Stegostoma tigrinum: one gene and its partners. The main gene of each other region encodes a partner of the protein of the gene in region 2 in a complex. Links are inferred from orthologs where the notes say so. Each region holds a gene or a part of one and is shown on either strand. Other genes may lie near its edges.

Region 1 (10,772 bases), on a different chromosome or scaffold from region 2:
AACCCAGCCAGTCTGGCAGCATCGGTGAGAAGAAAGCAGTTTTGAGTCCAGTGACTCTTCATCAGGACTGGTTTGGAAACATTAACTCTACTTTCTTCACACAGATGCTGCCAGACCCTCTGATTTTCATCAGCAATTGTTCTTTCAGTTTTAGACCTGCAGCTGTTTGTTTTATTACTTTGATTTCCCTCACCCACTATACGAAGGAGCCTGTAGAGTTCAATGACACTGCCAGATGACTGAAGCCCCTCCCTACAGAGCAGCCAGGTCCAGATGATCAGTCAATATCAATTGTGCTGAAAGACCCAGAAATTTTAATTGTCCCCAGACACGGCTGAGTATTTCCAGAATTTTGTTTTAAATTCCAGTTTCCTTCAGCCACTACTTTCTTCCCCTTAGCTCTGCAACCTTCTTTTTGAACATTTAGCCTATTCATTTTCACTATTATTCCAACCCCTCCCCCAACAAATGCAATTTTCCCTCTGCGTTCCAGTTTTAAATTGTCTTTTAGATCCGGATCTTTCCCATTTACCTGTTATATTTTTTTAAAACAATCTGTTTTTCACCTCCTACACACTTAATCCTGTTTCCGTTTTGACACTCCGTCAAGACTTTCTATTCCCACCTCTCCTCCCTTGCCCCATCTGTCACATTCTCTCACATTCGTTTTAGTCTCCAGCATCCTGTCTGCTCCACCTTGCCCCAGTGCTTTTCATGAACAACTACACATTTCATATTGTTCAAAGATTCTTTCGTTGAATGTGTATAATCCTGAAAGCTTACATGTTCTTAATTTACATTTTTGTCTTCCTTTAATACTTCACGACCCAATTTTTAAAAAATTTCAATTCAAAAGCATTTCGATACATATGGATCCAGAAATGAAATACTGTGGATCTTGGAAATCTTGAAATAAAAACTGAAAAATGCTGGAAACATTCAAGGGGACAGGCAGCATCTAAGCAGCAAGAAACGGAGTTTGTCATTTCAGATCTTTTGTCAAAGTTGGGAGAAATTAGAAGTTTAACAAGTTTTGAGGAAAACAGGAAACCAGATAAAACAGAGTGGCATGGCAATTTCCTTTCTTTGATGACCCTAGCTGACGGGAGTTGGGAAGCTCTCAGCAATGGAAGCTCAAGAAACAGCATTTCATTTTCCAGTTAGGTGCTTCAATGGTGTTCAGTTTAGTTCAGGCGGCTGGAAGTTGGGTTGTGAAGCAGTGTGATGCCAAGAGCGTGGGTTCAATCCCCACATCAGCTGAGGTTACCACGAAGGGCTCTCCTTCTCAAGCTCTCCCCAGACTAGAGGTGTGGTGGCCCTCAGGTTACATCACCAGTCCTCTCACACTCTCACTCACCAGAAACCCATGGTCTGACTCCCAACACACATTTCAACAGTAGGGCACTTCAAAAGAAAAAAAAATAATTTGAGATACTGGAGGTGATGAAAAGCATTGTACCAATGTGAATTCTGATTGTGGCCTATCAATTTTCTGACAGCAGCTATGCAATTCTCAAATTTCATGTAGTGTTTATTACAACATTAAAGACAGAAGATGCAGTTTCTCCAGGACTGAATAGTTTAAACAAGGAAAGTGTTCAAACATTAAACAGTCCTTCACGTTCAGGTTCCATATTTGTTGTTACTCTGCAGTAGAGTGTCAGTAACTTAAGGAATCATTACTCCGTCTCACTTACCATATAAATGGCTTCATTGATCACAATATCTTTCACCTTCCTCATCTCAATGAATCTCACACTCTCTCTGCCAGAAGCATACACGGTGTTCATCTGGACTCCAATCGATCCAATGATCAGCATTGACTCCTGATCAATCTTAAATAAGTGGAGGTGCAGCATCATCCCAACGAGAGTCAAAACAATGGAAGCTGAGAGCACTAGAGTGTTCTGCAAGAAGCAATTTGCAACAAAGACTATCAGGGCAGTTCCTGCAACCTGTTCACGAAGCCAACTTGAACTTTTAATAATGGAAACTGAAAATGCCCAGCAGGTCTGCACCCAGTTCTGATTACAGATCATGGACCTGCAACGTTAACTCTGTTTCACTTTCTACAGATGCTGAGTTTCTCCAGCATTCTCTGCTTCTATTTCTGATCTCCAGCATTCACAGTACCTCACATGTATTAGAAACTGCCCTTTATTTTGTATCACTGCCTATTAAAATGCATCACTACAGATTTGTTATTATGAAATAACAATAGGGAATCTAATCCAGTCTGCTATATGTCTGACCAATAATTCTGCCTACGTCCTCTTGAGGTATATTACTTCTCTTCACTGTTCACAACAATACTTCCAATTTTTTGTCATCTACTAATTACACCCTGTGCAGTTAAGTTTATTGTCATTATATAGATCAAGACTAACAGTATGATCCTGGTACTGATTCTTGAGGGAACCCTCCTATGCAAAACAAAAGTCAGCTTTTTATTACTACACTGTCTCCTGTCACTCAGCTAACTGCGTAGCCAATGATACCACTATGTCTTTTATTCTGCAGGATTTAGCTTTGTTGCAGAGCCAGGATGTGGCCCTCTAATACATAGCTTTGGGAAGATGATTCACACTACATCAACTCTCTGTGTGAGTGCCGCAGAAAAAAAAACTCTTAGTCAAATGATTTGCTTTAAATAAATCCACGCTGACTTTTGTTTGTTAATCCACACTTGCTTACTGACTGCTTATTATGTCCTATTTTATCTCGACTGCTTTCCACCAGCGAGGCTAGAGAGTGACTGACCAATAGCTGTTGGGATTACCTTTATATCCTTTCTCAACAAGGGTGTAACATTTGCCCTCTGGCACAAATGAGTATTTGAGGAAAAGAAGATGATTATGGCTAGCAAGTCTGAAATTTCAACTCTTCACACTGCATCCAGTCCTGGGGATAAATCAACTAAGTGCACAACCAGCCTGTCTAATGTTATGTCTTTATCAAGTTCCTCAAGGTTGTGTCCATGGCAGAATTGTACTCAACTGCTTTTGTCAATGATCTTCTCTCCATCAGAAGTGGGAATGCTCAATGATTGCACAATGTTCACAATTCATTACCAGCCTGTCTAATGTTATGTCTTTATCAAGTTCCTCAAGGTTGTGTCCATGGCAGAATTGTACTCAACTGCTTTTGTCAATGATCTTCTCTCCATCAGAAGTGGGAATGCTCAATGATTGCACAATGTTCACAATTCATTACTTCTCAGATACTGATAGAGGCCATGTCCAAACGCAACAAGTCGTGGACAATATTCAGTGTGGGTTAACAAATGGCATGTCTCACACTCACTTCAGCAAAAGAAAATCTAACCATCACCCCTTGGTATTCAATAGCACTGCTACCAGTGAATCCCCACTATCAATATCCATTGACAAGAAACTAAACTGGTCTCGTCATACAAGTACAAAAGTGGGTCAAATGTTAGAATTCTTGCATGCCCATAATTCCCTAAGCCTGTCGGGCATTACAAGGCACAAGGCAGACGTATAACAGAAAACATTCCACTTGCCGAGATGGGTGCAGTTCAAACAACTCAAGAAGCTTCACACGATCCAAGTCAAAACAGTTGGCTGATTGAATTTGAATGTAGTGCCACTCTATCCACCAATGCTCTGTAGCTGCAGTGCGTACCATCAATAAGATGCACTACAAAAATTCACTAGGACTCCTTACACAGTACCTTCCAAACCCACATCAAGCTAGAAGGACAAGGGCAACAGAAACATGGGAATACCACCTCCTGCAAGTTCCACTCCAAGTCACTCATAATACAGACTTAGAAACATATCAACATTCCTTCACTGTCATTCAGTCAAAATCCTGGAACTCCCTTCCTAAGGGCTCTCTCTACCGACAGCACCAGCTTAAGGGGTAGCTAGAGAGGAAACAATAAGTGTTACCCATGTTCTGTGCGTGAGTGAAGGAATGAATTTATATTTAGTCCACCCATTATGAGTCACTGACGGAAAAGACAGGTATAAAGTGTTCATTTAGTACCTAGCCATGCCCTGCAAATACTCCCAGGTTGAGGATGCTAGCACATCGCTCACCTATTGAGCCCTGAGGAGTCACCTGTTAGGGTACTGCGCATGTGCGAAGCCGGACTGCGCACCTACAACGCAGTGGGGCGTGGTCACGACCTTGCGCGACAGGAGCAGGGGCCAATCGGTCTGGACAGCACCGGGGACGAGGCGTTCCCAGGCTATGACTGATTGGGGCGTCAGCCAATCGCAAATTGATCGCTGCCCGCCTAAAGGACTGGGACACACGTCATCAGGCCCCATCGTCCAATTAGTAGGTGTCCGCACCTCCTCCCACCCCCCCCCCCGGGGCCAACCCACCTACCTGCGTCCTGTTAAAGATGGCGTAAGCGACCAGCCAGATGGCGGCCGTGCACCCCAACACCGAACGCAGGGACATTTTCGGCGACAGGATTGTGAACTCGCGGCAGAGCGGCGAGTGGTGTCTTTGTTCGAGGGTGATGCAGCGGCCGCTTAGGTCTTTGAAAGTCGACGCCATGTCTCCCAAGCCCTGCTGGTGACGTCACGCCGCTGGGTGCGCCTGTCCACGTGACTGCGTGGGAACACCTGGCCTTTTAAAGGGACAGGCCACCTCCCCCAATCAACCAGGAGGAGCACCTTCAAACAACTGAAAGGTGCCAAGGTGCACTTACTTTGCAGCTAGCATCATGAAAATGGGGAACTTCCCTCACTATCAAAATCAAGGGGCTAATATTTAGTGATAATGGGAACTGCAGATGCTGGAGAATCCAAGATAATAAAACGTGAGGCTGGATGAACACAGCAGGCCAAGCAGCATCTCAGGAGCACAAAAGCTGACGTTTCGGGCCTAGACCCTTCATCAGAGAGGGGGAGGGGGTGAGGGTTCTGGAATAAATAGGGAGAGAGGGGGAGGCGGACCGAAGATGGAGAGAAAAGAAGATAGGTAGAGAGGAGAGTATAGGTGGGGAGGTAAGGAGGGGATAGGTCAGTCCAGGGAAGACGGACAGGTCAAGGAGGTGGGATGAGGTTAGTAGGTAGGAGATGGAGGTGCGGCTTGGGGTGGGAGGAAGGGATGGGTGAGAGGAAGAACAGGTTAGGGAGGCAGAGACAGGCTGGGCTGGTTTTGGGATGCAGTGGGTGGAGGGGAAGAGCTGAGCTGGTTGTGTGGTGCAGTGGGGGGAGGGGACGAACTGGGCTGGTTTAGGGATGCGGTGGGGGAAGGGGAGATTTTGAAACTGGTGAAGTCCACATCGATATCATTAGGCTGCAGGGTTTCCAAGCGGAATATGAGTTGCTGTTCCTGCAACCTTCGGGTGTCATCATTGTGGCACTGCAGGAGGCCCATGATGGACATGTCATCTAAAGAATGGGAGGGGGAGTGGAAATGGTTTGCGACTGGGAGGTGCAGTTGTTTGTTGCGAACCAAGCGGAGGTGTTCTGCAAAGCGGTCCCCAAGCCTCCGCTTGGTTTCCCCAATGTAGAGGAAGCCGCACCGGGTACAGTGGATGCAGTATACCACATTGGCAGATGTGCAGGTGAACCTCTGCTTAATGTGGAATGTCATCTTGGGGCCTGGGATAGGGGTGAGGGAGGAGGTGTGGGGGTAAGTGTAGCATTTCCTGCGGTTGCAGGGGAAGGTGCCGGGTGTGGTGGGGTTGGAGGGCAGTGTGGAGCGAACAAGGGAGTCACGGAGAGAGTGGTCTCTCCGGAAAGCAGACAGGGGTGGGGATGGAAAAATGTCTTGGGTGGTGGGGTCGGATTGTAGATGGCGGAAGTGTCGGCGGATGATGCGTTGTATCCGGAGGTTGGTGGGGTGGTGTGTAAGAACGAGGGGGATCCTCTTTGGGTGGTTGTGACGGGGGCGGGGTGTCAATTAAGCAGCAACGCGACTGGACTTGCCATATAAATAACTGAATGGCTACAAGAGCAGTTCAGAGGTTAAAAACACTCGTCTCCTGACTCCTCAAGGCCTGTCCATCATCTACAGGGCATAAGTCAGGGGTGTGATGGAATACTGGCCAGGTGCCTGACTAGTTACAGCTCCATTAACACAGCTTGATGCCACCGATGATTAGTTACAGCATTGTGTACTGTCTACGTAAGATGCACTGCAGAAGTTCAAAGACCATCAGACTGCACCTTCCAAATTCATGACCGGTTCCATCTAGAACATAGTCAACAGTGAAGAAAGTTATGTAAGATTACAAAGGAAATTGCAATCAATTGGCCAATGGGCCGAGGATTGGCAGATGAAGCTTAATTTACATAAATGCAAGGTATGGCATTTTGCTACAACAAACAAGGGCAGGTCATACGCAGTTAATGGTAGGGCCCTGGGTAGTGTCGCCGAACAGCGAGACAGAGGGGTTCAGGTAACAATCCTTTGAAAGCTGCATAAGACATAGTTTGGTTAAGAAGGGGTGTATGTGTGTGTGTTTGTTAAGAAGGTGTTTAGCAAGCTTGATTTCATCACTCAGATGTTTGTGTAGAGGATTTGGAAAGTCATGCTGAGGTTGTACCGGATGTCAGTGAGGCCATTTTTGGAGTACTGTGTACACTTCAGGTCATCCTGCTGAAGGATGGTTCGGAAAATATTTACCAGGATTTTGCTGGGAATGGAATAGGCTGGGAATTTTGTCACTGGAGTGTAGGAGTTGACAAGTGATCTTAAAGATTTTTTGAAATCAGGAGGGACATGGATAAGTTAACTGCAAAGGTCTTTTCCCTAGGGTGGGTGAGTTCAAAACTAGGGGACGTATTTTTAAGGTGCAAGGAGAAAAATTTAAAAGGGACCTAAGAGACAAGTTTTTCACGCAGAGGGTGGTTTGTGTGTGGAATGTACTGCCAGAGAAAGTGGTAGATGCAGGTACAGTTCCGGCATTTAAAAGACATTTGGATAGGCACATGAATAGGGAAGGTTTAGAGGGATATGGACCAAATGCAAGCAAGTGGGGTTAGTTTAGTCTAGGGAAACTTAGTTGGAATTGACAAGCTGGACCAAAGGGTCTGTTTCCATTCTGGATGACTACTGGGGAAAACCACCCCTGCAAGATTCTGTCCAAGTCATTCGCTATCCTGATGTGGAAATATCAGCATTCCTTCACTGTCATTGGGTCACAATCCTGGAATTGCCTCCCTCAGGATGCTGTGGTCTACCTATAGCACATGGGCTGCAACAGTTAAGAAGGCAGTTGGTGGGGGGGGGGGGGCGCGGTGCGAGCATTAACTGCTGACCAGCTAGTGATGCCCACATTCCCCTCAGTGAATTTAAACAAAATAGAGAGATTTCCACAGCTACCCTGCTGGTTCTTTCCCAGCATTTTCTGTTCATTACAGATTTCCAGCATCAGCAGTATTTTACCTTGTGAAATGCCAGAATTCCTGTTGAAAGGCCAGTTAACAAAACAGCCAGTGATTGAAACTCTAATACAAAGTAACCAATTCTTAAAAGAAAGGTGCTGTTTTAAGAAAAAGAAGGAATAACAAAAGTTGCAGTGTGCATCGATTGTTCGAAGAGGTCTGTGGCTAACCTTTTGTTTTCCCCTGCTTTTGTTTTTATGTGGGATGTGTACTTAGAAGGCAAGGCCAGCATTTGTTGATCACCTCAAATCTGAGTGGCTGGTCTGGCTTCCACCATTTTGCTGTGGATCTGGACTCTGCAAGGCTGGCAGATTCCCTTCTCGAAAGGACATGCTGGGGCAGCATGGTGGCTCAGTGGTTAGCACTGCAGTCTTACAGCGCCAGGGTCCTGGGTTCGATTCCAGCCTCGGGCGACTGTCTGTGCAGAGTTTGCACGTTCTCCCTGTGTCTGCGTGGGTTTCCTCCGGGTGCTCCGGTTTCCTACCACAGCCCAAAGACATGCAGGCTAGGTGGATCGGCCATGCTAAATTGCCTGTAATGTTCAGGGGTGTGTGGGTTATAGGGGGATGGGTCTGGGTGGGATGCTTCAAGGGGCGGTGTGGACTTGTTGGGCCAAAGGGCCTGTTTCCAGGGAATCTAATCTAAACATTGCTTGGTCAAGTCAACATTAGTGAACTAGTTGAGATTTTATAACAATTGATGATGATGATGATGATGATGGTCAGTTGTCTTTGCTGAGACCAGCGTATTTTTCCCGTGTGTTAATAGACGGAATTTAAATCTCACCAGCCGAGATCCAAAACTGTGCCTTTGGAGCATAAGTCAGGCCTCAAGATTACCCATTCCGGCAACACAACCACTATGTCATCAATTCGGGATTTGGTGCGGAGTGGTAGATTTTGGTGGAAAAGTACAAAACAAAAGGGGGCAATTCTAAAAAAAAAGCCCAGCATCGGAGAAGCCTGGTGCCATAAGGTGCACAAACTGTTGAAGGTGACGAGGCATCTTGAAATAATGCTGTGAAGGCACACAGGATCGTGAGCCTTATTAGTTAAAACACTGACTACACAAGGAAGAGCGTTTTGGTGAGTCCTTATAGAACACTGGTCTGATTCTGATTGGAGTATTGTTGCTCAATTTCAGGCACTGCGTTTTTCAGACAGATGTGAGGGCCCAACGAAGGGTGCTGGAAAGAGTCACAGGGGTGGGTCCCGGTATGAGGTACCAGGTAGATTGGAGCTGCTGAGGTTGTTCTCCTTGGAAGAAATTACGACGATATTGGACGAAAGCGATGGGGTCTAGCTCGAGTGGATAGGAGGCAATGCGTTCCTATTGGCAGAAAAGTCGTGAACAATGATATAAGGAGATTGGCAAAAGAACCAATAGCTTTTGTTTTATGTGATGGGTGATTATGATTTAGAATGCTCTGCCTTAGAGCGCAAGGGTGTCAGATATAATTTTGACTTTCTAAAGTGAATTGCGTAGGAAGTGATGTAGAAATTTCTAGGACGGGGCAGGGTGAGGCTGACTGATTTTCTCTTGTAGAGGGCTGGCATGAATTCACTAGCCTTCATCTATACAGTAACCATTCAATGATGCAACGGTCAGGGTGTAGAATGAAAATGCTGCCCACCACACCTTACATGTTCTGCCCATCTGCCATCAGTGCGACATGGCTTCAGAGTGTACCATCAGCAAGACACACTGCATCATCTCACCTTAGCTTGTTTGATCAACTCCTTTCAAGCCTGTAGCTTCCAACACCTTGACGTACAGGAACAGCAGATACAAGGGAACAGCATAATTTCCATGTCATGTATCGACCTGACATGAAAATATTTAAATCATCGCTGTCTTAAAATCCTGGAACTTCCTCCCTGACAGCAATGTATTTGTAACTATGCCACATGCATTACAAAGGCTCAAGAAGGTGGCTCATTACCACTCTGTCAAAGGTAATTGGGGTTGGGAAATAATGCTGCCTTTGCCGGTGGCTCCTACGTAAGGAAGGACATTGGCTACAAAACAAATCCCAGGAATTAAGGTGGTGGGGGGGGGGGTTCATCACTCTGCCAGAAAGCATTAATTGGTGAATAACTGATTTAAGTTCGGGACCACTAATGTCCGCTAGATATATAAATGACGCAGACTAAGTAAAGGGAAATATAAGGATTTGCGGCTAATTCAAATTGGTGTTATCTTGAAATGAATTTTAATCTAGAGAAGTATTTTGGACCGTGGAACAAGGAAACTAGTTTTCAAATAGGGTAGAGGGGTGTGATGCTCTCGAAATACAGACACATTAATACCTGGAAGATAATAATAATTATAAATGAGGTTTTGGAACTCATTTCTAGAGGCAAATGACTACAGAGCTGGGAGGTAATGTTAATTTTATGGAGAACCCTGGTTTGAGATTGAGTAATGGGAGCACATCTGATCTGTACACTCTGTAAAATGCACAAAGGTTTTACTAGGATATTGCAAGATTTCAGAGGCTGCAGCTGTTGAAGGAAAGAATGAAGCAGGCTCGAGCCGTTATCTCTGAAGAGAGGACTGAGAGGCGACCTGATGGATATCTTGAAAACCAGAAACCTACTTTTCACTTGTGGAAACTTTGAGATCAAATAAAACATAGAGGAATTTCTTGCAGAGAGAGTAGTACGAAAGATCTCCACCTCATGGAGTGGGCAGAGCAAATTGCATTGATGGATTTAAGAAGAAGCTTGATTCACACATGCAGGAGAAGCCATTGGAGCAGCACTGAGGCAGTGTGGGAAGAGGTAATTAGTGTGGGAGGACGCTCATGTAGAGTATAAACATTGACACAGATCGGATGGGCTCAATGACTTGTTTCAGCTATTGAGTATGGCAATCCACCGAATGGAATATAGCAATGTTACATGTTCCATCTGCCTCATAAAAGACCTTACAGCATGATTTCAAAGTAGTCCACGTACTGGTGCCCTAACCAACATTCATCTCTTAACCAATTCCATTTCGCTAGTCATTTCACAATAGCCTTGTGGATCTGAAAGGCCATTTGGCCCATTTGATCCGTTCATTTAGATAAATCTGGAGCATCCCTGCTCTCTTACGGTATCTACATATTGCTGAACTTACTCCAGGAGTGTTCACTACTCCATGTAAAAATACCCATTACAGTTCAGTGGGTAATGCTTTTGCCTCAGTTGGAAGATCATGGGTTCGAGTCTCAATCCGAAGACCTGAGTATGTGATTTGAGTTGACAGTCCAAAACAGTGCTGTCAGAGGTACAGTTCTCGGGGGAGGTGTCAAACCGATGCCCCAGTTTCTCTCTTAGATGGATGCCATCCCTCCTTTGATGCAATTAGATGTCCACTCCAGTTTCTTGACCAATATTTCTCTGTGGCCAA
Region 2 (10,773 bases):
TGGATACTGTTGTGGGGGACGACTTACCAGGAGCATGCAGTAGGGTACAGGTCTCTGGCACAGAGTCTGTCCCTCTTGCACAGAAGGGAAGGGGGGATAGGAAGAGAGTGATAGTCATTGGGGACTCAAGAGTTAGAGGGGCTGATAGAAGGTTTGTCGGGAACAAAAGAGACTCACGGTTGGTGTGTTGCCTCCCAGGTACCAGGGTCCATGATGTCTTGGATCACGTCTTTGGGGTCTTGAAGGGAGAGGGTGACCAGCTCCAAGTTGTGGTCCATATAGGCACCAACGACATAGGTAGAAAGAGGGATAGGGATGTCAGGCAGGATTTCAGGGAGCGAGGGTGGAAGCTGAGAGCTAGAACAAACAGAGTGGTTATCTCTGGCTTGTTGCCCATGCCAAGTGATAGCGAGGCAAAGAGCAGGGAGAGATTTCAGCTGAACACCTGACTGCAGGGATGGTGCAGGAGGGAGAGCTTCAGGTACATGGACAACTGGGGCTCATTCTGGGGAAGGTGGAACCTCTACAAACAGGACGGTCTCCACTTGAACCAGAGGGGCACTAATATCCTGGGTGGGAAATTCGCTAGTGCTATTCGGGTGGATTTAAACTATTTCAGAAGGGAGATGGGAAACTGATGTGTAGTTCCAGTACATAGGAGGAAGAGAGTAGGGAGGTTATGGACAGGACCTGACTGTCATGGGAGTGTGCTGGCAGACAGCAAGCTGTTTTGAAGTGTGTCTACTTTAACGCCAGGAGTATCCGGAATAAGGTAGGTGAGCTTGCACCTGGGACTTCGATGTTGTGGTCATTTCGGAAACATGGATAGAGCAGGGTCAGAAATGGATGTTGCAGGTTCCAGGGTATGGATCTTTCATTAAGATCAGGGAAGGTGGTAAAAGAGGGGGAGGTGTGACTTTGTTAGTCAAGGGTGGTGTAACGGTGGCCGAAAGAACTTTTGATGAGGACTCATCTACTGAGGTGGTATGGGCTGAGGTCAGAAACAGGAGAGGAGAGGTAACACTGCTGGGATTTTTTTATAGGCCTCCGCAAAGTTCCAGGGATGTGGAGGAGAGGATCGGCAAAGCTATTCTGGGCAGGAGTGAAAGGAACAGGGTGGTCATTATGGGAGACTTTAACTTCCCTAACATTGACTGGAAATGCGATAACTCGAGTACTTCGGATGGATCAGTTTTTGTCCAATGTGTGCAGGAGGGTTTCCTGACACGGTATGTCGCAGGGCCGACAAGAGGGGAGGCCACATTGGATCTGGTGCTTGGTAATGAACCAGGCCAGGTGTTTGATTTAGTGGTAGGTGAGCACTTTGGAGAGAGTGACCATAATTCGGTTGTGTACTTTAGCAATGGAAAGGGATAGGAACATGCCACAGGGCAACAGTTATAGATAGGGGAAGGGCAATTATAATGCGATTAGGCAAGACTTAGGAGGCATAGAATGGGGTAGCAAAATGCAGGGAATGGGGAAAATCAAAATGTGGAGCTGGTTTAAGGAGCAGATATTGCGTGTCCTTGATGGGTATGTCCCTGTCAGGCAGGGAGGAAGTGATAAGGTAAGGAAGCCGAGATTTACTAAAGAAATTGTGTCTCTTGTTAAGCGGAAGAGGGAGGCTTATGTGACAATGAGACAAGATGGTTCAGATGAGGCAATGGCGAGTTACATATTAGCTAGGAAGGATTTAAAGAGACAGTTAAGTAGAGCAAGGAGGGGACATGAGCAGACATTAGCGAGTAGAATAAAGGAGAACCCTAAAGCTTTCTATAGGTATGTGAGGAATAAGAGGATGACTTGGGTAGCAATAGGGCCAGTCAAAGACAGAAGTGGGAAGTTGTGTGTGGACCCTGTGGAGATCGGAGAGGCGCTAAACGATATTTCTCATCTGTTTTCACTGAGGAACAGGAGAATATTGTAGAGGAGAAGACTGAGTTACGGGCTACTAGAATTGAAAGGATTGAGGTTAGTCAGGAGGAGGTGTTATCAATTCTAGAAGGTGTGAAGGTAGATAAATACCCTAGGCCCAATGGGATTTTTTCCGAGGATTCTTTGGGAAGCCAGGGAGGAGGTGGCGGAGCCTTTGGCTTTGTTCTTTGAGTCCTCATTGTCTACAGGTTTAGTACCAGAGGACTGGAGGATTGCAAATGTTGTGCCCTTGTTCAAGAAGGGCAGTAGGGATGACCCAGGTAATTATAGACCTGTGAGCCTTACGTCTGTTATAGGAAAAATTGTGGAAAGGATTATAAGAGCTAGGATTTATAATCATCTAGCAAGCAACAATTTGATTGGAGATTGTCAACATGGATTCGCCAAGGGCAGGTCGTGTCTCACAAACCTCCGTGACTTTTTTGAGACAGTGACCAAGCATGTGGATGAGGGAAGGGCAGTTGACGTGGTGTAAATGGAATTCAGTAAAGCCTTTGATAAGGTTCTACATGGTAGGCTATTGGAGAAAATACAGAGGCATGGGATTGAGGGAGAGTTAGCAGTGTGGATTAGAAACTGGTTTTCTATAAGAAGGCAACGAGTGGTGGTTGCTGGAAAATATTCAGCCTGGTGTCCGGTTACTAGTGGTGTGCCTCAAGGATCTGTTTTGGGACCACTGCTGTTTGTCATTTCTGTAAATGACTTGGACGCAGGCATATGTGGATGGGTTAGTAAGTTTGCAGATGACACTGAAGTCAGTGGAGTGGTGGACAGTGTGGAAGAATGTTTCAGATTGCAGGGAGACTTGGATAAACTGCAGAATTGGGCTGAAAGGTGGCAAATGGCATTCAATGCTGATAAATGTGAGGTGATTCACTTTGTGAAGAATAATAGGAAGGCAGAATACTGGGTCAATGGAAAGATTCTTGGTAGTGTGGATGTGCAGAGGGATCTTGATGTCCATGTACATAGATCCCTGAAAGTTGCCACCCAGGTTGATAGTGCTGTTAAGAAGGCTTACGGTGTTTTAGGTTTTATTGGTAGAGGGATTGAGTTCTGGAGCTGTGATGTCGTGCTGCAACTGTACACAGTGCTAGCGCGGCCTCACTTAGAAAATTGCGTACAGTTCGGGTTGCTCCATTACAGGAAGGATGTGGAAGCATTGGAAAAGGTGCAGAGGAGATTTACCTGGATGTTGCCTGGTTTGGAACGAAGGCCTTATGAAGAAAGGCTGAGGGACTTGGGTCTGTTCTCATTGAAGAGAAGGAGGCTAAGAGGGGATTTAATAGGGACATACAAGATGATCAGGGAATTAAATAGGATGGACATTGAGAGTCTTTTTCCAAGGATGATGACGTCAGCTTGTACAAGGGGGCATAGCTACAAATTGAGGGGTGATAGATTTAAGACAGATATCAGAGGCAGGTTCTTTACTCAGAGAGTGGTAAGGGTGTGGAACGCCCTGCCTGCCAATGTAGTGAACTCAGCCACATTAGGGGCATTTTAAACAGTCCTTAGATAAGCATATGGATGATGATGGAATTGTGTAGGGGGAGGTGCTTAGATTAGCTCACAGGTCGGCGCAACATCGAGGGCCGAAGGGCCTGTTCTGCACTGTATTGTTCTATGTTCTATGTCCCACACCCTCATTGCCGAAGTTGATGGCCTCACCAACATTGGTGGAGCTACATGAGTGGACACTTCCTTGCAGTTGGTGGCTTGTGATCTTGCACATTCAGCAATTGAATCATTGTGCTCAGACGCCAGATGCCGCGATGGAGCGAGAGACGTGGCAGAGGGCCCCAGACTTTCAACGTCTCCAACTGTAAAGGTGAGGCCAACAACGTAACCTCCTCACCTGCATCATAGAATCCCTACAGTGTGGAAACAGGCCCTTCAGCCCAACAAGCCCACACTGGCCCTCAGACCCATCCCTCATAACCCACATAACCTACACATCCCTGAACACTGTGGTAATTTAGCATGGCCAATCCACCCTAACCTGTACATCTTTGGACTGTGGGAGGAAACCGGAGCACCCAGAGGAAACACACAGACACGAGGAGAATGTGCAAACTCCACACAGACAGTCGCACGACGGTGGAATTGAACCCGGGTCCCTGGCGCTGTGAGGCAGCAGTGCTAACCACTGAGCCACCGTGTTAGCTCCTAAAGTTCGTTGAGGGGGCACCCAAATCTTTCAATGTCAATGGAAAATGGTTAAAGTCTGTCTTGTTTGAGATGGTCATTGCCTCACACTTCTATCATGCAAATATTACTGGCCACTTGTCAGCTCAAACCTGGATATTGTCCACATTTTTCTGTGCTTGCACATGGACTACTTCAGTATTTGAGAAGTGGCAAATGGCGCTGAACACTGTGCAATTATCGGCAAGCATTCCCATTTCTGACTGCATGATGCAGGGAATGTCATTGATGAAACAGCTGAAGATGGTTGGATAAACACAGCAGGCCAGGCAGCATCACAGGAGCAGGAAAGCTGACGTTTCAGGTCTGGACCCTTCTGTCACTTAAGATGGTTTGACCTAGAACACTTACCTGATGAACTGTTGCAGAGATGCCTGGAGCTAGTATGATTCATCTCCAACACACAACCACTTCCCATGTGCCAGGTTATGGCTCCAACCAGTGCAGAGTTTTCTACCTTGTGCATCTTAATGCTACATTCGGTCATGTCAAAGGTCATTATCGCAAAGTGCATGTGATGCCAATTAAAGACATTCAGAACTCAGAATAAGCAGAACGTTCGTAACATCAGCAAACTCGCCAAACAGCGTGGCAACAGAGATGGGTGTGAGTTTTCACTGCTGATAAATGTAAACCAATAGCACAGAAATATAGCATTCCTTTTTGAGGATGCAAGGGCTAAGTGAAAGAGAATTACTTGGTAGTGGGAGCTAATGGACCATGGTTGAATTTTGCTGAGTGTGGGAATTCTCTGTTAAGTCATGGATAAATTATGGGCCTGAAATTTAGCAGAACTTCAGTTGTTCCACCAAAGAACTGGAACAACTGAATGGGCTGAATAGGGTAGCACAGGAGTCACTTGCTGCCTCACGGTACCAGGGAGCGAGGGATGAGCCTGGTCCAGCATTCAAGGCAATCAAGACCCATAGTCTAACGCAGTGTCACATCATCGATTCTCCCCTTACATCTTGATTCTCCTTTGAATCCTAATATCTTTCTTGAATATATTCAGTAATCGCCTTGTTGGGAGTGGGTGGGGTGAGTGACAGTGAAAAGTGAGGGAAATGAACTGGGCTCCATTTAGGGGCTCTCAGCAACCCTAGCAGGTGGAGGGGAGGAGATTGGCTTCGCTGAGGTAAAAGAAGAGCACATCACCGAGTGCTGGTGCTGGTTAGGGCACGTTGTACTCGAAGATACAGATGATGGGGTGAACCCACTCTGTGTCTGGGCAACAGCAAGGATATTAGGCGCCTCTGTTCTCAAAGGTGATATGCCAGCATCAAAGATGGCGGACAAAAAGACGACCAACGGGAGTGCCAGCATCGATGGCGTTGACGGCACCAAAAATCAGCCAGCATCAAAGATGGTGATCACGATGTCAAGAAACCCGCCAATATTAAAGATGGCGCCCGCCGAGACCAAATCCGCCAGTGTCAAAGATGGCGGACGTGACCTCAACCACCGCCAATTCCTTGACCCCCTGTCAGCTTTCGAACAGCTTAAAAATAAACCAGTTAATTTTATATCGGAAGTACGCTTGCGCTGAACCTGTCATTTTAACTTGAATAGCCCCCGATGGGGAAAAAAGCGTACATACTTCCGGCGGACGCCAGGTGGTTTCCATGGAGACGGCCGCTCACTTCCGGCCCGGGCCCTCCCCGCCCCCACCGGCTGCCAGCAGCCCGGACTCTGACTCTGTCTCTGGATGAGGGCGGACCTGGAGCCGGTGGAGGCCGCTGCCTCTGGCCGCAGGGCCTCGGACAACCGGACCCGGTCCCGGTCCCGACCTCGGCCTGGCCGCTGGAAGAAGGTCCTGTACGAGAGGCAGCCTTTCCCCGATAACTTCGTCGACAGCAGCTTCCTGGAGGAACTGCGGAAAAATAGTGAGTGGGAGCGGGGTGGGGGAGGGGGAGGAGGGTGAGGGGGATCGGAGTGGGAAGGGGAGGGGGGGATCGGAGTGGGAAGGGGAGGGGGGGATCGGAGAGGGAAGGGGAGGGGGGGGTCGGAGTGGGAAGGGGAGGGGGGGGTCGGAGTGGGAAGGGGAGGGGGGGTCGGAGGGGGAAGGGGAGGGGGGGGTCGGAGGGGGAAGGGGAGGGGGGGTCGGAGGGGGAAGGGGAGGGGGGGGTCGGAGGGGGAAGGGGAGGGGGGGGTCGGAGGGGGAAGGGGAGGGGGGGGTCGGAGGGGGAAGGGGAGGGGGGGGTCGGAGGGGGAAGGGGAGGGGGGGGTCGGAGTGGGAAGGGGAGGGGGGGTCGGAGGGGGAAGGGGAGGGGGGGGTCGGAGGGGGAAGGGGAGGGGGGGGTCGGAGGGGGAAGGGGAGGGGGGGGTCGGAGGGGGAAGGGGAGGGGGGGGTCGGAGGGGGAAGGGGAGGGGGGGGTCGGGGGGGGAAGGGGAGGTGGGGGTCGGGGGGGGTCGGAGGGGGAAGGGGAGGGGGGGGTCGGAGGGGGAAGGGGAGGTGGGGGTCGGAGGGGGAAGGGGAGGGGGGGGTCGGAGGGGGAAGGGGAGGGGGGGGTCGGAGGGGGAAGGGGAGGGGGGGGTCGGAGGGGGAAGGGGGGGTCGGAGGGGGAAGGGGAGGGGGGGATCGGAGGGGGAAGGGGAGGGGGGGGTCGGAGGGGAGGGGGGGATCGGTGTGGGAAGTGGATGGGGCATCGGAGGGGGAAGGGGAGGGGGGGATCGGTGGGGGAAGTGGATGGGGCATCGGAGGGGGAAGTGGATGGGGCATCGGAGTGGGAGGGACGGGGGGATCTGAGGGGGAGGAGTATCGGAGGGGGAAGGGGAGGGGGGGGTCGGAGGGGGAAGGGGAGGGGGGGGTCGGAGGGGGAAGGGGAGGGGGGGGTCGGAGGGGGAAGGGGAGGGGGGGTCGGAGGGGGAAGGGGAGGGGGGTGTCGGAGGGGGAAGGGGAGGGGGGTGATCGGAGGGGGAAGGGGAGGGGGGTGTCGGAGAGGGAAGGGGAGGGGGGTGATCGGAGGGGGAAGGGGAGGGGGGGATCGGAGGGGGAAGGGGAGGGGGGGGATCGGTGTGGGAAGTGGATGGGGCATCGGAGGGGGAAGGGGAGGGGGGGATCGGTGGGGGAAGTGGATGGGGCATCGGAGGGGGAAGTGGATGGGGCATCGGAGTGGGAGGGACGGGGGGATCTGAGGGGGAGGAGTATCGTAGGGGAAGCGGAGGGAGGATTGGTGAGGGAGGGGGTAGGGTCGGAGGGGGAAGGGGAGGGGGGATCGGTGGGGGAAGGGGAGGGAGGGGATAGGATCAGAGGGGAAAGTGGAGGGGGCATCGGAGTGGGAGGGACAGGGGGGATCTGAGGGGGAGGGGGGGTTCGGAGGGGGAGGGGGGATCGGTGAGGGAGGGGGAGGGGGAGGGGGGATCGGTGAGGGAGGGGGAGGGGGAGGGGGGATCGGTGAGGGAGGGGGAGGGGGATCGGTGAGGGAGGTGTTAGGATCAGAGGGGGAAGTGGAGGGGGATCGGAGTGGGAGGGACAGGGGTGATCTGAGGAGGAGGGGGGTTCGGAGGGGGAGGGGTATCGGTGAGGGAGGGAGCGGGGGGTTTGGTGAGGGGGAAATGGAGGCGGGATCGGAGGGGGTAGGGGAGATCGGTTAGGGAGGGGGAGGGGGATCGGTGAGGGAGGGGGAAGGGGAGGGGGTTCGGTGAATGAGGGGGAAGGGGAGGGGAATCTAAGAATAATGATGACTATGAATCCATTGTCGATTGTCAGAAGAACCCATCTGGTTCACTAATGTCCTACAGGGAAGGAAACTGCCATCTTTACTTTGTCTGGCCTACATGTGACTTCAGATCCACAGCAATGTGGTTGGCTCATAACTGCCCCCTGGGTAATTAGGGATGGGAAATCAATGCTTCCTGGCCAGCAATACCCTCACCCCCATGAATGAATAAAGAAAAAAGAATAGAATGGGACTTCCAGTGACCATAATTCTATTCATTTTAGAATAGTGATGGAAATGGATAGACCACATAAGCGTTAAAGTTCTAAATTGGAGAAAGGCCAATTTTGACGGTATTAGGTAAGTGCAGATAATGATCAGCCTAGGAGGACGAATAGTTATCAATGATGGGTTGTTTGTAATAGTAGCCCATGTGATAACAAGGCCTCATGTCCAGGGCTTGTGGTAAGGACGGAGGAGAAGGTGCCTCAAGTCCTAAAATAGTTGAACTCAATATTGAGTCCAGAAGGCTGTAGAACAGAGTATAGGAGTTGACGTTATTTCGGGCTAAGTTAGATAGAGTTTAGATTCACAAGAGGTGAGGACTGGGAGGAAGGTGGAAAGGGTAGCATTGTGGACAGGAAAGTGGAGTTAGATCACAATCAGAGCAGCCCTGATCTTGTAGAACATAGAACATAACAGCGCAGTACAGGTCCATCGTCCCTCGATGTTGCACCGACCTGTGAAACCGATCAGAAGCCCATCTAACCTACAGTATTCCATTATAATCCATATGTTTATCCAATGACCATTTAAATGCCCTTAAAGTTGGCGAGTCTACTACGGTTGCAGGCTGGGCATTCCACGCCCTTACTACTCTGAGTAAAGAATGACTTAGGAAACTCAAAAGGGTGAATGTACTACTCTTGGCCCAAAGTCCCATGTTCCTATGATTTTGTCACCATAAGTTCTGTTTTCTGTTCTAGTTTATGTGCGCCAGTACCAGGTATGGACGGTGGTGTGTGAATCCAGTGTTGTCATCCATCAGTTGTCCAGGTAAGCACAGCACACCACTTTGTGAGTGCACTTTGGAAATATGCAATAAAACCAGAGGAAGCAGGAAATAATTCAGCAGAGGAGATAGCATCTGGAGGGAGTGAAACAGTATGAACACTTTAGGCTTTTCATTTGAACATGCTGACCTTCAAGATGCAACAGGATTTAGGCAAGTTATGGAGATAGCAACAGGAGGAAGGATGAGAGGCAAAAAATACAAAGCTACAGTCTTTGGCAGAGTGGAAAGCAGGACAGATTAAATAATCAAAGGGAGGGTGCTGGAAGGCCACAGGAAGTGGGAAAGGAACAAGTAATGAAACAAAAGAGGGGCCTAGAGGAGGTGTGAATGGCACATGCAGAATCAGAGCTAATAGTAGGTGTCTCAAAGCCAAACCAAAAACACAAATGGATGTGCTAGGAAATTGTTGAGCTTGTGGTTAGGTCTAAGATGTTGTAAATTGCCTAATTGAAAGGTCAGATGCTGTTCAGTGACTCTGCACTGACCTTCACTGGAACAGTGTCAGTGATGCTCTAGTTCAGAGTGGGAGCAATGGAGACAGGTTTCAACAAACAGGCCATTAGAAGCTCAGGGCCAAATTTGTGGACCCAGTCTGCGTTTTGCCTACACTGTGTAGGCAAGAACTCATCGTGCTGCATCTCTCGGGTTTGCAAGGCAAATTGCTGTGCCAAGAGCAGCACGGTGGCTCAGTGGTTAGCACTGCAGCCTCACAGCGCCAGGGACCCTGGTTCGATTCCACCCTCGGGCGACTGTCTGTGTGGAGTTTGCACATTCTCCCCATGTCTGTGTGGGTTTCTTCCAGGTGCTCCGGTTTCTTCCCACAGTCCAAAGATGTGCAGGCTAGGTGGATTGGCCATGCTAAATTGTCCACAGTGCTCAGGGATGTGCAGATTAGGTGAATTATAGGGGGATGGGTCTGGTTGGGATGCCACGAGAGTCAGTGTGGACTTGGTGAGCCACAGGGCCTGTTTCCACACTGTAGGGATTCTGTGAATATTTTGAAGTGCAGTACTGCTAACCAGAGGTACTTGGCTAATAATCATGCCTCAATTACAAAAAGAAAGAATGTTCTAGTTCATTATCACATTATTTGTAGGGAGGTAGCTGGGAGAAAATTAGCTCCCACCTCTCCTACATTACAGCGTGCAGCAAGACCTGTCAATATCCAGCCTGGAGCTAGTTAGTGGCAAGTGACATACCGTTAATGTGCTTTCGGTGACCATCTCGTTTTGTAATTCAGTGGCGTTGCCATCGCTGAATCCCACAAGATTAACATCCTGGGGGTTATCATTAACCAGAAACCGAGCCAGATCAGTTCTGGCCAGGCCAGAGGCTAAGAATCCCACAAGAACCCACCTCCTGACTCTTCAAAGCCTATCCGCTATCTCACAAGCAAGGGGTCAGAACCGTACTACAATGTTTCTTACTGGCTGAGATGTGGGACGCTAATAACACTCAAGCCTGAATTCATTCATGACACAACCTCCTTGGTTAGTGCTCAACTTAAAATTTTAAACATTCCCTCCGTCCACCACTGATGTTCAGTGCTAGCACTGTGTGGCGCTGTAATACAAGGTGCTCTCCTCTGTCATTTTTGTCCTTGCCTGGAACCTCGACCAGTAAGAAGACAAGGACAGCAAATGCATGTCAATTTGCAAGTTCCCCTCCATGTCACATAGCATTTTTGCTTGGAAGCACATTATCATTTCTTTACTGTGACTGGGTCAAGCTCCCACAGTTCCTTCCCTAATAGCACCAAGGGCTATATCCAAACTCAAAAACTAGTGACCTCCAAGTTCTGTGCAAGAATAAAACTAATTAAATGTCAGATTCCATCCTTGCCATGTTGCTGTGCTTCTTTCTCATTGTTCCATTGTTTTCTTCCACCAGTGT
Region 3 (8,482 bases), on a different chromosome or scaffold from region 2:
AAATGCAGGGGATGGGGACAATTGAAATGTGGAGCTGGTTTAAGGAACAGATATTGTGTGTCCTTGATAGGTATGTCCCTGTCAGGCAGGGAGGAAGTGATAAGGTAGGGGAACCGTGGTTTACTAAAGAAATTGTATCTCTTGTTTGGTGGAAGAGGGAGGCTTATGTGATGTTAAGATGAGATGGGTCAGTTGATGCGATGGAGAGTTACAGGTGAGCAAGGAAGGATTTAAAGAGAGAGTTAAGAAGAGCAAGGAGGGGTCCTGAGCAGTCATTCGCAGGTAGGATAAAGGAGAGCCGTAAAGTTTTCTAAAGGTATGTGAGGAATATAAGGATGACTGGGGTAGGAATAGGGCCAATCAAAGACAGAAGTGGGAAGTTGTGTGTGGACCAGGTAGAGATCGGAGAGGTGCTAAATGAATATTTCTCATCTGTTTTCACTGAGGAAGAGGAGAATATCATCGAGGAGACGACTGAGATACGTGCTATTAGACTTGAAAGGATTCAGGTTAGTAAGGAGGAGATGTTATCAATTCTAGAAGGTGTGAAGATAGATAAATCCCCTGGGCCTGACAGGATTTTTCCGAGAATTCTCTGGAAAGCTAGGGAGGAGGTGGCGGAGCCCTTGGCTTTGATCTTTGAGTCCTCATTGTCTACAGGTTTAAAACCAGAGGACTGGAGGATTGCAAATGTTGTGCCCTTGTTCAAGAAGGGCAGTAGAGATGACCCACGCAATTACAGCCAGTGAGCCTTACGTCTGTTGCAGGAAAAGTTTTGGAAAGGGTTATAAGAGATAGGATTTATAATCATCTCGGAAGCAACAATTTGATTGGAGATAGTCAACATGGATTTGTCAAGGGCAGGTCGTGTCTCACAAACCTCATGGAGATTTTGAGGAGGTGACCAAGCATGTGGATGAGAGAAGGGCAGTTGACATAGTGGACATGGACTTCAGTAAAGCCTTTGATAAAGTTCCACATGGTAGGCTATTGGAGAAAATACGGAGCCATGTGATTGAGGGAGATTTAGCAGTTTGGATTAGAAACTGGCTTTCGGTAAGAAGGCAACCAGTGGTGGTTGATGGAAAATATTCAGCCTGGAGTCCAGTTACTAGTGGTGTGTCTCAAGGATCTGTTTTTGGCCTACTGCTGTTTGTCATTTTTGTAAATGACTTGGACGCAGGCATAGGTGGATGGGTTATTAAGTTTGCAAATGACACTAAAGTCGGTGGAGTGGTGGACAATGTGGAAGAATGTCGCAGGTTGCAGGGAGACTTGGATAAAGTGCAAAATTGGGCAGAAAGGTGGCAAATGGAGTTCAATGCGGATAAATGTGAGGTGATTCACTTTGGGAGGAATAATAGGAAGGTACAATACTGGGCCAATGGAAAGATTCTTGGTAGTGTGGATGTGCAGAGGGACCTTGGGGTCCATGTACATAGATCTCTGAAAGTTGTCACCCATGTTGATAGTGCTGTGAAGAAGGCATACGGTGTGTTAGATTTTATTGGTAGAGGGATTGAGTTCCAGAGCTGTGATGTCATGCTGCAACTGCACAAAACACTCGTGCGACCTGTTCTGGTCGCTCCATTGCAGGACGAATGTGGAAGCATTGGAAAAGGAGCAGAGGAGATTTACCAGGATGTTGCCTGGTCTGGAGCGAAGGTCTTATGAGAGAAGGCTGAGCGACTCGAGTCTGTCCTCATTGGAGAGAAGAAGGCTAAGAGGGCCTTTAATAGAAACATACAAGACGATCAGAGAAAGATGAGTCAAGGTGGATGGTGAGAGTCTTTTTCCTAGGATGATGATGTTGGCTTGTACGAAGGGGCACAGCTACAAATTGAGGGGTGATGGATTTAAGAAAGATGTCAGAGGCAGGTTCTTTACCCAGAGAGTGGTAAGGGTGTGGAATGCCCTGCCTGCCAATGTAGTTAACTCAGCCACATTCAGGGCATTTAAACAGTCCTTGGATAAGCATATGGATGATGATGGGATAGTGTGGGGGAATGGGCTTAGATTAGTTCACAGGTTGGCGCAACATCGAGGGCCGAAGGGCCTGTTCTGCACTGTATTTTTCTATGTTCTATGACCTGATAACTTGTTCTTATGATGTTGAAGCAAGTGTCCTCCCTACTGAGCCACTGCTGACACACAGCTAATGAGGGTGGATGACTAAAGATTTGGTCAAAGAGATAGATTTCAAACAGTCTATAAAGATAAGGGAGTGGAAGGTAAGGAATTCCAGCCCTTAGGATTCAGGCATCTGAAGGCACCGCCACCAGTGGGGTAGTGATTTAAGTCAGAGATGCTCGAGAGGTCACACTTGGAGAAACTCTGAGATGTTGGCATACTTTAGGGCTGAAGGAAATTGCAAGAGATAGAGAAGAGTGAGAATCTAAAAACAAGGATGAGCATTCTAAGTTTGAGGTGTTGTCAGACTGTGGCTCGATGCAGTTCAGCAGGATCCAGGGTTAGAATTAACCGAAATTGATGTGAGTTAGAATATGAACTGTAGAATTTTAAATGCTGAGCTCAAGTTATATTGAGGGTGACAAGGTTGTGTTGGAATGATCAAACCTAAATCAAGGTAAAAAGACACCATTCGTGCTTAAGCAACTGAAGAACAGAGGCAGGTGGCTGTGAGCTGAATATATGTAGTCTTGGTTTTGAAGCATTTGGAGGGTAATCATGGGTTCAAATGGCATTGAGTTTAACCTCAGCAAGTGGTCACAGACAGCCTTAAAAATCAGAAAACAGGATTTGTGACATAGATTGAAGAGAGTGGTGTCTGTCCTTTCAAGGCGGTTTTAGAGGAAATGTCTGATAATCCAGTATTAGAGATGGTGAGAAATCTGATGCAGTTGACAGGAGGGAAAGCTGGGTATCTGCAGTGCAGATGTGTATGACACAGATTTTGCTGCAGTTTGGTACCTAATGGCACTTTTAATTGATTGGAGTCGCCTTTATTCGTTCAATTTCTGGAACAGCATCTTCCTGAAAGTGAGTGAGCTCTACAATTTACAGCAGCATTTGCCCTTTTCAATGGGGGTGAAAGGTGGAGGGGGCGGGGCTAGTGCTTTAGCCCGGATGCGGAAGTGTTGGTGGTGAGTCTGGAGTTTCGGGTGGGAATGATTCGGGTTGGGTACGGGTCTCGCATCCGGGGAGCGGCCCGGAGGCTTCTGCATCTCTCCCGGGCCAGGCTGTCAGGAGAATCGGTAACCGGGGAGGGAGACAGGAAGGCTGCTCTGGACCCGACCCTGCTCCCGTATCTGGTGTGTCCCCTGTCCAGAAAGCAGCTCAGGTTCGTCCTTGGGGAAGGTCAGAGACTAGGACAGGGGAGATATCCTATGTCTAGCAACAGGAGAACGAGTCGCTGAAAATAACTAGATTGCTGTTAAGAAGTGCTAGCACATTCTTGATCGTCTGAATGGTCTCCTCTTCACAATTCGGGATGGCGGAGCGGAATGGAGGCAGAGAGTAGGAACAATGAATTTGATTTTTGAGTTGAAGGGAACTGGAGCGGGTTCAGGGAAGGGATTGAACTGGCCTCAAAGCAGGATTTTGCAAAGTGAAAGACCGTTCCGAGGACCTTTAATGGAATCTGGGTTTCATTGTGGCCCTGGAGGAAGGTGGATAATCTCAGAGCACCTAATACTGCAAGGAGAGGACTCCCATCAGCTCTGTGGATGTTTCTACTGTGCAATGCCAACACAAAATGTTCTCTAAAATAATGCAAACAACTAGTATTTATATAGTGCCTCTCATTACCACCAAACGTCTGAAGATGTTTCTGAATTAGTGAAGTACCTTTCCACTGTTGTAATGTACAGATATGCAAACAAGGATGTGATATTGACCAGCAGTCTTTTTTCATGATGGAGACAGATGAACATTCTTATAGAAGAATGAGGGGGATTTATAAAAAACTTTTACAATTATGAAATGAGTCAATAGAAGCAAGGAGCATGTTTCCACTGGTGGGAGAAACTAGAACAAGAGGACATAGCCTCAAAATTACAGGAAGCAGATTTGGCACTGAATTGAGTTGTGAATTGGCAGAATTCTCTGCCCACTGAAGTAATTAAGGGTTAGAATGAGAGGGTGGATAAGTGGAGCTGAGGCCATGAAAATATCAGCGATAATCTTACTGAATGGCAGCTGGTCTACTCCTACACCTAGTTCTTATGTTCTGTGAATACCAGACAACTGTCCAGCTTTTTCTTTTGAATAGTACAGCAGTCCTTCTGTATTGAATTCCTGTCCCCAGATAGTGCCATGTTCCCTTAGTACTGTAGTGGCTGTATCCACCTAGGTTTGTAGACTCACATCTCTGGGGTGAGACTCAAACACCTGGTTTCCTGATTCTGATGTGAGTGTGCTTGCTAAGTGATGGGTTGTCAGCAGATTGACTGAACAAAAGCAGGATGTCTTGATGCCTTTAGACTGGAGGAATTTTTGTCTTGATTGTACACCAGAAACATTCAGAGTATTCAAATCAAAGGAAGTGGCTTGTGGGAAGTAAATAGATGCAATGGTTCTGCCTCCTTGATAGTATTGCCATTTATGTACTGTAGCCAGAGCAGGAATGGCTTTTTGGTTTGGGGCTGTTCGTTCTTCATTTTAGAAGCTCAGAACTGTTATACAATTGACTTCAATCCTGTTTAGTTAGAGGAGAGGGATGAAACGCCTACATGGATTCTTCATCCTGAAGATTTAGCAAGTATGTCTATGAGTGTCTTGACTGCAACACCATTCTCAATCAAATAGCTTACCATTTGCTTTTAAGATACTTGTGTAAATAATAATTTCCTTGTTGAGTCTAAGCTACAAATGATTGAAGAACTCCATCCCATCAAAAAGTAAACATCTTCAGGGAAGTGTAGAGAGAAGAATGGAAATACATACAAGATTAACAGTATCTGAACCAGAAAAGTGGGTTTGTTTAGCAGATCAATTCTGATCTCTGTACCAAAGGAAGTTGAGTTTAATAAAATTATCAGTTTGTTGTTAAAGATAACAATTTCCCCACATTTATTTTTCATGTTTTGTTTTGTTTTGTTTCTGTCCTGGCTATGTTTCACCTTTTAAATCAGTCAGTTAGCAACATACCCTCCCAAAGCTACAATTTTGCACAACAGCTTGGCAGTTCTCCCCACTGACCCTCGACCACAACACTTGTATTACATGCAATCAGCTGATGAAAATATCAGGTTTCTTGAGCTTGTGAAAGAAACTGTGTAAATGCAGAAGTGTTCGCTTGTCTTTCCAACTCTTTTGAAAATTGGAAATGTTTTGAGAATCATAGAAAGATATTGCCTTTTGAAACATAACATTTTCAACCAGATTAAAAGGGCAGACTCCAGTTCCAACTCATTTTGAATGAGCTGCAGTTTAATACTTTGCTTCTGTCACCTTTATAGATATGATGAATCCTCCAATCAGCTGATCAATGATGAGTTGGGAATAGCCTATCCTGTTGTCGATGGAATTCCCAACATGATCCCTCAGGATGCAAAGTTAATTCGCAAGAGTGAAGACACACCCAAGGCGGAAGAACTTTCACAGCAGTAAACGGATCACACATTGCTTCTGGAAGTGGTGGGGAACTCTGGAAGTTTGAGATTATTTTAAAGGGAGGGAGCTTATCTTGCGTATTGCAAGATAATGACAATCTATCTGTCAACTCTCACAGTGCTGGTTCCCCTGTTCTCTTTAGCTGGGCTGTTGTACTCAGCTGCATTTGACAAGGATTTTCCACAGGGCTGCACTAGTATGGCCAGCTTGTGTTTCTACAGCCTACTACTCCCCATCACTATCCCAGTGTTTGTATTTTTTCACCTATGGAGCTGGATGGGGATTAAACTTTTCAGGCATAACTAATTTGAGTTCAAAAGCTATTGCGTATGATGATGTTTGTGGTGACCTGACGGCATCAACCTCTCAAATGAAATTTAGTTTCAGTAACAAGGTTTTTCCATTGGCTTGGAGGTATTTAGAATCTTGAGTGTATTATTGGTGGAAATTGGCACTGTTTTGGTTAACTTGTTCCTTACACACAAAATGCGAGGCATTCACTTTTGCCTCATCATGGTACATTTTTCTGGTAATGTTCAGTTCCATTGGCTTCATTCCCAGTGACTGCAATGCAGGAGACATTAACAGGCAGTCCATTTGAACCAGTTCGATACGGATTTCTGTCTTGAAGAAACAGTGTAACCAAAGTCACATCAAATTCCACCACAATGTCAGATGCAAATAAACCATGGAAATTCATTATAACAAAGGTTTAGTTTTGGTGCTTTTGACCTTGCTTTCGAAGACACTTGCTGTTTGCCTGGGTATTTAGCCACACTTGTGGTCTGTATTTGAGTTTCCTTGCCTGTATTCTGTTACTTTCACACGTTGCTTGGTAGGTAGTACAATGATTTCTTGATTCAGAAGGTTGTAGTTTAAGTTCCATGTTTGCTGATACTCCAGTGTAGTACTGAGAAAATATCACATTGTCAAAAATGCTCTCTTTTAAATGTTAACCAAAGCCCTGTCTGCTCCCTTGTGTAGAAGTAAAAACTTCCATGGTGCTATTTAAAAGAAAAGCAGGGGAGTGTTCATTGGCTATCTGACTAATGTCTGTCCTTCAAGCAACAACATTTGAAAAAATAAACATGTTATCTGGCAAATATCATATCGATGTTTGTGGGAACTTCCTGGGCATATGTTGGCTGTCACATTTTCAATGGTTCAACCATGACTTCACTTCAAAAGTACTTCAGGATGGCCCAAAGTGTATTATAATTAATGAAATGCCTTATCAGGGGGAAGTAACAAAGTGCTGGAGGAAGCCTGGCAGCAGCTGTGGAGGGGGAAACAGAGCTAACATTTCAAGTGTAGAATGACTCTTCCTGCACTTGCAGTATTTTGCTTTTATTAGGACTGGGAGCCCTTCCTTTACTGAATTTTCTTCAGAAGAAGCTGGGCATAGAATAGGCTAGAATCAGTCTAGGTCAGAAGTTGCTGAAAACTTAATACAACCATGGAATGACCTGTCATTGTAAACTAAGTTACTGGTAATGAGCAGTTCGAGTCATCTACATGTTGAAAGCAGATGATTATTTCCATACCATGCAGTTTGAGTTATCTTTAAATAAAGCAATTTGAAGCAAATGTTTCATCTCCATCACTAGACTGTCTGGCTGTAGACTGGATATTTTTTACCTCAGTTAAGATGGGGTGAAGTTGACCAGAGATTGCAAATTCTGCTTCAATGGGATGCAGTGGGAGGAGGGGAGATATTGAAGCTGGTGAAATCCACATTGATACCATTAGGCTGCAGGGTTCCCAAACGGAATATGAGTTGCTGTTCCTGCAACCTATGGGTGACATCATTATGGCACTGCTGGAGGCCCAGGATAGACATGTGCATCCCAAAACCAGTCCAGCTTGTCCCTGTCTGCCTAACCTGTTCTTCCTCTCACCTATCCCCTCCTCCCACCTCCATTTCCTACCTACTAACCTCATCCTGCCCCCTTGACCTGTCTGTCCTCCCCGGACTGACCTATCCCCTTCCTACCTCGCCACCCGTACTCTCCTCTCCAACTATCTTCTCCTCTATCCATCTTCAGTCTGCCTACCACCCCCTCCCTATTTATTTCAGAATCCTCTCCCCATCCCCCTTTTCTGATGAAGGGTCTAGGCCCGAAACGCCAGCTTTTGTGCTCTCAAAATGCTGCTTGGCCTGCTGTGTTCATCCAGCCCCACACTTTGTTATTTTGGATTCTCCAGCATCTGCAGTTCCCTTTATCTCTGTTTATAAAAAGGAAATTGCTTGACAAATTCAAGGTTTGTTTTGATGTAACCAATGGTATAGACAAAGAGGAGCCACCTTGTTCTAGAAATCACCAGAGGAAACAATTTTTGTCTATCTCTTTATCATCTTAAACATTTCAATTCAACCACCCCTCAAATTGTTTTAATCAACCTATTCTGACGTTATCACCTTTGGAGCAGACGGGACTGGAATCCAAGCCTCCTGGCTATCGGCACAACCACTGTGCCAAAGGAGCACCTTTCTTAATTTTCTATAACTTGGCCAATAGTGATGTGGGAAACCTCATTTCATAATTTAACCTTCTATGTACTGGTTATCATTCTGAGGAATCTCTATTGAGTTACTCCAAGGCCAATATAGTAGAGGAGACAAGTGGTGTAATGGTACTGTCACTCGACAGATGGGTCAGAGGGTCAGGTTACTGTTTTGGGCACAAATGTTAAAATTTTACTACAGTGGCTAACATAAAACTAGCCTCCATAATGCTTTGTCAATTGTCATAAAGTCCCATTTGAACAAAGAATAAAACCACAGGAATGGAGCCCTTCGGCCCTCTAAACTTGTGGCCACTACATTTTGCTCTTCCATACTAAAACTGTCTTCACTTACAGGATCCATATACTTCTATTCCTTCCTATTCATGTATTCGTCCAGGTG

Evidence for each region.
Region 1: pigc (region 2) and pigh share a complex: the UniProt entries of both Homo sapiens proteins name them as parts of the glycosylphosphatidylinositol-N-acetylglucosaminyltransferase (GPI-GnT) complex. The link is inferred for Stegostoma tigrinum from reciprocal best matches to the Homo sapiens genes PIGC and PIGH.
Region 3: pigc (region 2) and phosphatidylinositol N-acetylglucosaminyltransferase subunit Y-like share a complex: the UniProt entries of both Homo sapiens proteins name them as parts of the glycosylphosphatidylinositol-N-acetylglucosaminyltransferase (GPI-GnT) complex. The link is inferred for Stegostoma tigrinum from reciprocal best matches to the Homo sapiens genes PIGC and PIGY.

What each region holds. Positions count from the first base shown.
Region 1 is NC_081363.1:80,334,021-80,344,792, reverse strand, and holds the start of pigh (phosphatidylinositol N-acetylglucosaminyltransferase subunit H), read right to left. Parts: upstream 4,590-10,772; 5' UTR 4,534-4,589; coding exon 4,360-4,533; intron 1,908-4,359; coding exon 1,698-1,907; intron 1-1,697. UniProt on the Homo sapiens protein: Part of the glycosylphosphatidylinositol-N-acetylglucosaminyltransferase (GPI-GnT) complex that catalyzes the transfer of N-acetylglucosamine from UDP-N-acetylglucosamine to phosphatidylinositol and participates in the first step of GPI biosynthesis.
Region 2 is NC_081387.1:9,164,655-9,175,427, reverse strand, and holds the start of pigc (phosphatidylinositol N-acetylglucosaminyltransferase subunit C), read left to right. Parts: upstream 1-5,801; 5' UTR 5,802-5,851; coding exon 5,852-6,029; intron 6,030-8,791; coding exon 8,792-8,861; intron 8,862-10,770; coding exon 10,771-10,773. UniProt on the Homo sapiens protein: Part of the glycosylphosphatidylinositol-N-acetylglucosaminyltransferase (GPI-GnT) complex that catalyzes the transfer of N-acetylglucosamine from UDP-N-acetylglucosamine to phosphatidylinositol and participates in the first step of GPI biosynthesis.
Region 3 is NC_081370.1:36,821,953-36,830,434, forward strand, and holds phosphatidylinositol N-acetylglucosaminyltransferase subunit Y-like, read left to right. Parts: upstream 1-5,664; coding exon 5,665-5,880; 3' UTR 5,881-6,682; downstream 6,683-8,482. Other genes in the region: protein preY, mitochondrial-like, read left to right, coding at 3,110-3,301, 5,421-5,571. UniProt on the Homo sapiens protein: Part of the glycosylphosphatidylinositol-N-acetylglucosaminyltransferase (GPI-GnT) complex that catalyzes the transfer of N-acetylglucosamine from UDP-N-acetylglucosamine to phosphatidylinositol and participates in the first step of GPI biosynthesis.